2 linked regions of the Yarrowia lipolytica genome follow. The protein of the gene in region 1 binds, or shares a complex with, the protein of each later gene. Links are inferred from orthologs where the notes say so. Each region holds a gene or a part of one and is shown in the gene's direction. Other genes may lie near its edges.

The links. The genes of interacting proteins can lie anywhere in the genome.
Region 2: the proteins of YALI1_B05454g (region 1) and YALI1_F09563g are in contact, whole or in part, in a crystal structure (PDB 2PJW), measured with the Saccharomyces cerevisiae proteins. The link is inferred for Yarrowia lipolytica from reciprocal best matches to the Saccharomyces cerevisiae genes VPS27 and HSE1. Residues at the interface, in NP_014403.3 of Saccharomyces cerevisiae: Asp349, Leu350, Lys355, Ile358, Tyr359, Phe361, Ala362, Val365, Glu366, Met368, Lys369, Ser370, Arg371, Asn374, Leu377, Glu378, Gln383, Ala386, Val389, Phe390, Lys393, Leu396, Asn397, Ala399, Leu400, Lys403, Ala404, Lys406, Tyr407, Thr409; in NP_011861.1 of Saccharomyces cerevisiae: Val292, Phe293, Gln295, Lys296, Ile299, Asp300, Leu302, His303, Leu306, Asn307, Ala309, Ser310, Ser315, Asn316, Leu319, Tyr328, Val331, Thr332, Arg335, Val338, Met341, Leu342, Tyr345, Ala346, Glu348, Lys349, Met352, Leu353, Leu355, Arg356.

Annotation. Positions count from the first base shown.
Region 1 is NC_090771.1:543,593-547,675, forward strand, and holds YALI1_B05454g (uncharacterized protein), read left to right. Parts: upstream 1-1,851; coding exon 1,852-3,549; downstream 3,550-4,083. Other genes in the region: YALI1_B05438g (uncharacterized protein), read right to left, coding at 1-293, 352-372; YALI1_B05483g (uncharacterized protein), read right to left, coding at 3,864-4,083. UniProt on the Saccharomyces cerevisiae protein: Component of the ESCRT-0 complex which is the sorting receptor for ubiquitinated cargo proteins at the multivesicular body (MVB) and recruits ESCRT-I to the MVB outer membrane.
Region 2 is NC_090775.1:954,712-958,972, forward strand, and holds YALI1_F09563g (uncharacterized protein), read left to right. Parts: upstream 1-1,614; coding exon 1,615-3,672; downstream 3,673-4,261. Other genes in the region: YALI1_F09598g (uncharacterized protein), read right to left, coding at 3,973-4,261. UniProt on the Saccharomyces cerevisiae protein: Component of the ESCRT-0 complex which is the sorting receptor for ubiquitinated cargo proteins at the multivesicular body (MVB) and recruits ESCRT-I to the MVB outer membrane.

The DNA of each region.
Region 1 (4,083 bases):
GCCGCATAGATGACGGTGCACACGGCCTCCTCCAGGCCAGGATCGCATTCCTTGGCGTCCAGCAGTCCGATTCGAGCCAGCAGCAGTTCACAGTACAATTCGAGAATCTCCAGCAGCTCGACGCTGATGTCGTTTCGAATGATGTTTTCCACGCGGATCCGGGCACTGGCCTCCTTGCCTGCTTCCAATAACCCTGCCATTTCTCGTCGTTGGGCTTTAGCTAGTGCCGTCTCCTTCTGTTGCACTAGTCGCAGACGGTTCACCGCCATTTTCAATTGCACCTTGAGTCGGGTCTGTGTTAGTCAGCTGCTTACGCGGTGGGTGGTCACGTGCGCCTCAGATACTGCTCACCTGAACGGATGCTGTTGCCATCTTGGTTGTAGTTGTTAGTGTCGCAAGTCGTTGATAAGATAACCGGGGTGTGGAGATGTATGTATGGTAGTGGCGATGGTGATGCAGATGGGAGGTGGCCTCGAATCTAATTTTTGGGTGGGGCGATGGATGGAGTGTCGGGTGGCGTAGACGAACAAGTGTGGCGAAGGAGCCGACCGTTCAAACCGCCTGAGCGGTTGTTTTGTGTGGGATTTACTTTCCGGGAGAGCGGCTATTTGACATTTGCCTGCCAAGAAAGTCTAGGGGTGGAGTCAACACTTGGTTCTACCAAGAAAGCCGTCTAACGATGGGTTATTACTTGGTTATATCAAGAAAGTCGTCTAGTATTGGGTTATTACTTGGAGGGTTCAACTAACTGGAGTTTGCATGAAGTTAGCCCGTGGGAATGGGGAGACTGAATTGAAAGAGAACAAGCGATGTACGGATTGTCCATGTCGAGATCATCAGGCCGACTAAATGAAACACCATTGACCCTCAAGCAGCCGAGGAGTGTGTACCAGTGATATGAGTTCACGAGTCTTACCACAGCCTTGTACCGTGTACGAGTATGTACGATACTAGGGCGGTAGAAGGGCGGTGGTTATGAGGTATTCACATGTCTCGGCAGCTCAATGGCAGTTTTATGGTGAATGGAATGGAACAGCGACTTCTTATCAATGTTCAGAATGTCGACACTTGAGAAAAATAGCCAATCAATCTCAATCCAGTTACTATACTGTCAGATCTGAGAAGAAGCATGCTTGTCCAAGCTACCACGTCCCCAACAACAGTACATACACAGTAATACAGTACCAGTACTCGAGGCAACTACAATAATTGCATTAATTGCACGAAGAAACTACATCAATTCACGATCAGCACTCGTTTGTACTCGTACTGACGTAGACAACTGTACTGTCTCGTATGACCGACAGACCCGACTCAGCATGTCAGACAGGGCATGAAAGGGTCTGCCACCACTAGATCGGGGCTCGGACAGTTCGAAATGACGAAAACCAAGTGATTTCAGGCGTGACAATCAGTTTCTCCCGTCAGATCCGCCCTCCATCTGTCTCTCCTACTTGTACTCGTCCTCATACTCGTCCTCATACTCGTCCTCATACTCGTTCTCATCCATCTCCAATCTTAGATCTTTCAACCTTGATCATGGTAACCTAATCAAGGGTTGGAACCAGCTTAGTCAAGAGTCCCGACGCTGACAAAGCACGTATATACACATACACACATAAAGGACCGGTGCAAAGTGCCCACGAGGATCTCCTCCTGTTCTGCTCACCTAACCCACCAGAGTCCCTGCCTCGCCCCTCGACCACATCATGGCACATTAATTAATGCACTGGGATGCAATCGGGTATTTAGACTCTGCCTAACCTCCCAATTGAATATCGCCACTGGAAACCTCGCTACTCTCTCTGACCACCGCACACCACCCCCCTCCCCCCATCCGCAACAAAGAACATGTCTTGGTGGAGCTCCACGCCTTCTATTGACGAGCAGGTCGAAAAGGCCACGTCAGAGTCACTGCCGTCGGGCGAGTCCGATCTTGCGCTCAATCTGGAAATCTGCGACCTGATTCGGTCCAAAACCGTGCCTGCAAAGGACGCCATGCGGTCGCTCAAGCGACGGCTGCTCAACCGCAACCCCAACGTCCAGCTGGCGGCGCTGCAGCTCACGGACGTGTGCATCAAGAACGGCGGCTCGCATTTCCTCGTCGAAATCGCCTCCCGCGAGTTTGTCGACCCCCTGATGGCGATTGCTCGAAACGACGACGCAAACCCCGAGGTGCGACAACGGGTGCTCCAGCTGCTCCAGCAGTGGGCGGTGGCGTTTGCGGGCCAACTGCAGCTGCAACAGGTGGAAAACGCAGTGACACAGCTTAAATCCGAGGGAGTATCCTTCCCCTCAGCCTCCCACGATAACGCCGCAGTCACCTCCACCTTCATCGACACAAAAGCACCGCCCGAGTGGATAGACAGTGACGTCTGCATGGAGAGTGGCGTGGCATTTTCGTTCCTCAACAGAAAACACCACTGCAGAAACTGTGGAGGCGTCTTCACCCAAGCCTGTTGCCAAAACTACATCACTCTGCCCCATTTCGGCATCAACGTGCCCGTCCGAGTCTGCAATGGCTGCTTCAAAAACCTCAAGAAAGGCAAATCAGACGCTCCTATCCACAAGCCTGTTCCAGGAGCCACTACCACAGCCCCCAGTTCTGCCCCCCCAGCAAACTCAGCACCCAACGACGACGAAGACGACATTCAAAAGGCCATCAGACTGTCACTACAGGAACAGGAGTCCTACAAACCCCCTCCTCCTGCAGCAGCAACCTCCAACGACGATGATGAAGACATGAAGGCTGCCATTGCAGCTTCCCTTAGAGACATGGAAAACGAGCGACAGACTGGACAGACCTCTGCATCTGCCGGTGGCTTGTCTTCAGCTTCCACTACAGTCATGGCTCCTTCCCTCACAGATCTAACAGCCACAGAAGAGTCTAACATCAATCTGCTGTCTCTGCTTGTTGAACGCCTCAAGGGAGAACCCCAGGGAACGATTCTGCGGGAACCCAAGATCCAGGAGTTGTATGACACCGTCGGCAACCTGCGACCCAAGCTTGCCCGAACCATGGGCGAAACCATCTCCAAGTACGACTCGTTGGTGGATATGCATGCTAAAATGACCACCGTGATTCGGTATTACGACGCGCTGTTGGAGGAGAAGCTCAACCAGGCTTACACTAATAGACAGTCGGGAGGATACGCACCACAACCTCACTTATCCCACCAGATGACGGGACAGCCGCCTCACTTGGCCCCTCATCTGACTGGCCAGATTACTGGGCAACCCCATATGGGTTACCAGCACACCGGACAAGCTCCCTATCTGACCGGCCAGGTCACTGGACAGGCGCCATATCTCTCTAACCAACCCACTGGCCATCTCACAAACCACTACACTGGGTCGGCACCCTCTGCTCCTCAATATGGGGGTCCACCAGCACAAAACGTCTACAACGCACCCAGTTACCAGTACTCCGGTGCCCCCGAATACGACTATGCATCTTCTCCCAGTGCCCCTAGTGCCCCTGGAGGTCCTAGTGCGCCCAGTGCTCCCGCCCAGCCGAAGGAGGAGTCTGCCCCTCTCATTGAATTGTAGCATCACTAGACTAGCCGCCGTGGATTTAATATTAGGCCCTGCTTGCGGTTACATTCCACATACTGTTTTAATCTGAGCATTCATTGGCGAGGACGTACATACCGTCCTAATTGTATCAGCGCATCTCGAGTACAGTACTTGTTCTTGTAACATATCGATGTGTACTCGTAATTCGTATATCAAGTATCTCTTTAGACGTTTAGAGAGTCCATAAATAAGGGGATTGGTAACGAACGATGAAGAAAATAGCCCGCTTCGCTCACCATCTGTTCAGACGACAGCCCAACAACTCGCTTTGTAGGTTTCCGAGTTATCTACGGCCCATGACTGTTGCCCTCCTCCTTCTCCGCCGAAATCTCTTCTCCTTTGAGATTCTTCTCCACGTCCTTGACAATCTCCTTGAGGTACTCCACGTCTCCCTTTCGGCCAATGATAGACACGGTGTTTTTCTTGAGCTCCATGTGCGGGTACGAGCCGATCTTGATGTCCTTCTCATTGACCTTTTCTTGCAGACGTCGCAAGTAAGGGGCCATG
Region 2 (4,261 bases), on another chromosome or scaffold:
AGCGCAAGACTGTCCTCTCTCACTTGGTAGTACTCGTGCTTGTACTTATATACCGGCACTCGCTTTATCTCTCCTCTCTCCTCTGACCACGCTTTATTACCACCATGTAAAGAGAGGGGTGCATGAAAGGAGGACGTGTCACAACACACTAAGGCATGGGCGGAGCGATGGCAATGGGCGCCCCCGGATCTTTTGACGTCTGAGGAATCTGTCATATCTTGCTACTTGCATCGCTCCTGTCTCTTGATCGATTATCGTGTTCCGTGGGTGGGCTAAAGTCAATGTGCCGAGGTTGGGGCAGTGCAGCTTCACAGTATGTATTGTACCGGTCCGTGCGGGCCCATACAAGCACCGGCCACCGTTGGCTGCAGAAAAAAACCGTTTGATGCACAATGTAAAGTTGGGGGAGGAGGGGGAAACGGGGTCGGCGACGACATAATGGAATAAATATCAGACGTCCACAACATAGGTGCGTTTTACTGTATAGGTGCGGTGCGTTTTTATGTATTGTATTACGACTTCTCGAACGGTACATGCGCTATCAAGCTATTGAGGGACGCTATTAAAGTAGCAGTTAGACTAACTCTAGATGAGACTATGATACCGTAGATCCCACCGATTAAACACAGCCCTGCTCATGTGTAGATAGATAAATGGTCATGACCAGATCGCTCCGCCCCCTGCATGCACAGAAGGATCAATACGAGTAAAGCTGTATGTAACGTGTACCTGTATTCGTATAGTATTGCTCTTGTCGCAGACTGGTATCATACCATCATGGCTACAGTCTGTACTGCACCAGTTCACCAAGTAATTAGTGGAGGTATCTTCTTCACTGCTTGCTGATGGCATCTGAGGGTATCTGATAAAGAGTAGTGATACCAGTTGAAGTACTGTAGCAAGTCTCTTGATGCAATCAGATACTTGTCTTGTACTCCACCGCATCAGACATCACTATCTGACGGAGTAGTTGTCTTCGTGCTGACAGTCATGTGCAGCATACAAGTAACCAGGCTATGTATGCTATCGTTACTATTTCTAACTTTGGTTGAAGACATAAACAAAAACCAATACGAGGCTTCTACGATACAAGAAACCGGTGCTTGCTATTGTATCTATAATACCACAACTATTGATCGCAATGAGGTATCGTGCAATCTGTTAAACAACTAAACAAGTAAACACGCACTCAGTACAAGTCGTCGTTCATCCTCTTCAATGGTTGTTTTCTCACACCGTCGTATAACCGTACTCGCAATTATTGCCTCCCCCCAATCGCGGGAATCGTACCCCCATGCACCTTACCGTTAGGACGCATGCCGCTCAGCCTCCACGATAGCCTTTGTGTCTCGAAATAGCTACATTTGCGAATGTACTTATAGATAGCCAGCTCGGATCTGTGGTGGTCAATCAATTTCCCTAACACAGCTGACCAGCAGATCCTCCTTGCAGTAACACACGGCTCTACTTCCACAAAGTAGTTAGCCGTCCACATTGCATCATCACTACTCCATCTCACCTCCCAGCAACTTTATTCAGTGGCAATAGTCGCTGCTTGTAGCTACCAACCACACCTCATAGAGGTAACCGCACCCACTCACCACCCTCACAGACATGTTCAGATCGTCGGAGCCCGTGTCGCCACTGGATGACGTGGTCACCAAGGCCACGGACGAAAACCTGACGACGGAAAACTGGCAGTACATACTCGACGTTTGCGACGAGGTGAACAACGACCCCGAAAATGGCGCGAAAAACGTCATCACCAGCGTCACCAAGCGTCTCAACAAGAAGTTCGCCAATACCCAACTGTATGCGCTCACGCTGGTCATCTCGTTATCGTCCAACTGTGGCTCCAAGATGCAGCAGGCCATTGCGTCCAAGGCGTTTGTCAAGACCCTCATGAAGCTGGCCAACGACTCGGCCGTCCACAAGAGCGTCAAGTCCAAGGTGCTTGAGGTCCTGGAGCAGCTGACGGACGAGTATAAAAAGGACCCTTCGTTGCGGCTAATTGAGGAGGCCTACGACGAACTGAGCAGGAAGAAGCCCGATCTCAAGGCCCCCGCCAAGCCCGAAAAACACAAAATCACCGAGCAGGAGCGCCAGCGAGAGGAGGAGGAGCTGCAGATGGTGCTGGCGCTTTCGCTGAGCGAAACAAACACCTCTGGCTCATTTCAGCAGCATCACCAGACCAACTCTCAGATCCAACCTCCTGTTAACAACTCTCATTTTGCCACGGACCCTCATCAGCAACAACAGCAGCAACAACAGCAGCACAACCAGCAGGATTACGGGCAGCAGTCCAACAACGCCAACACCAACAACAACGCTCCGGCAGTCGAGGACCCCACACCTACGGTGGCCACGGTGTCCCGAGTCAAGGCCCTGTATGACTTGAACGCCACAGAGCCCGGAGAACTGTCTTTCCGAAAGGGCGACATAATCACAGTGCTGGAGTCAGTGTTCCGAGACTGGTGGCGGGGATCTCTGCGGGGCCAGGTCGGTATCTTCCCACTCAACTACGTGATGCCTATAGCCGAACCCACTCCCGCGGAGATTGAAAAGGAGGCCCAGGAAGAGCTGTCTGTGTTCTCTCAGAGCAGAAATATTGAAAAGCTGCTGGCACTGCTGTCTTCGCAGGACGCTGCCCGGCTTAATCTCGCCGAAAATGAGGAGCTACAGTCCTTGTACCACTCCACCCTTGCCATCCGGCCCAAGCTGGTCAAGCTAATCGACAAGTATGCCCAGCGAAAGGACGACCTGGTGGAGCTCAACGAGAAATTTGTCAAGGCCCGAAGAGTGTATGATGACCTTATGGAGGCCAGCATGCCACAGTATGGAGGAGCTGCTGCAGCAGGTGGATATGCAGGTGGTGCACAGGGTGGAGCTCCTGCAGGATATCCTAGTGCTCAGGGCGCTCCCGCAGGTTATCCAGGTACTTCAGGTACTCCAGGTACTCCTGGTTACCCGCCTCAGTATCCTCCCCAGCAACAGCAACAACAACAGCAACAGCAGCAGCAACAGCCTCCTTATCCTGTTCAGCCTCTTCAGACACATCAACAGCAGCCACAGCAGCAGCAACAGCAAACTCCATACCCCGTGCATCAATACGATAACACACAGGCGCATGGAAGACAGGGATCTACTGACTCTGGAAGATCACAGCGCATGTATTCCCAGGGAGGCCAGGGAGGCCAGGGACCCACAGATCTGCATCCCGCGACCACCGGAGGAAGTGGGTACGGATTCCCTCCTCAATATGGGGGTGGAGCACCTTCTGCTCCCTCTGCTCCCCATGGAGGTGCTGGAGGCCCCGGAGGCCCCGGAGGCCCTTCTGCCCCTTCTGGAGCCCATTCTGGAGCCCCCTCTGCGCCTCCTAGCCATGCTCCGGCTGCTTCTGCTCCTCACGGCTACGGATCTCCTTCTACAGCTCATTCGGCCCCCTACGGAACCTCCCCCGCGGCCTCTGCGCCCGCCAGACACTCGCCATACATCAATGGCACGCCCACCAGCAACCTGGGACAGCAATCGCCGGTCACCAGCCAGTCGATCCCTATTCCCAACAACAACAACCTGGCTGCTCCACCGGTCCAGGGTCTGTACTCTCATGGCACCTCACCGCCTCCCCCGGTGCCCAATGCAGGCCCCCCTCCCAGTAATTTTTACGAGTAGTTAATGAGCATATGACAATACGAGTGTGCAGTACATACTTGTAGACGTATCCGTGGGTCAATCTGAGTAAGTGTGTGTTAAGGAAACGTCCACTTTTGACGATATCTGTAAGTACAATCAACGATAGAATACCGTTAGTGCCAACGATTCAAATGGGTCCATTGCGTGTAAGTACATTTGTTCCAATACCCTCGACATAGTGGGTCTGGTGACTACATCTCATTAGCTACAATACAATCAAATCATCAATAAATCAAGTGTCAGAGTTTGCACCCTTCTATATGTTGGCAACGCATCCGTCTACTCGTTCTGCTTGGCAAACTCGTTGATAAAGTCCTTGAGCAGCTCGGCGCTCTGGACAGTGACGGCGTTGTAGTTGGAGATTCGGATACCTCCGACGGATCGGTGGCCCTTGAGACCAGTCAGACCCTTGGCAGCCGCCTCCTTGAGGAACTTGTCCTCGAGACCCTCGCCATGGATGGTGAAGACAATGTTCATCTTGGACCGGTCGGCCACAGCAACAGGCAGGTTGTACAGCTTCTTGTGGGCATCCAGAGCGGCATACAGAGAAGCAGCCTTCTCTTCAGCC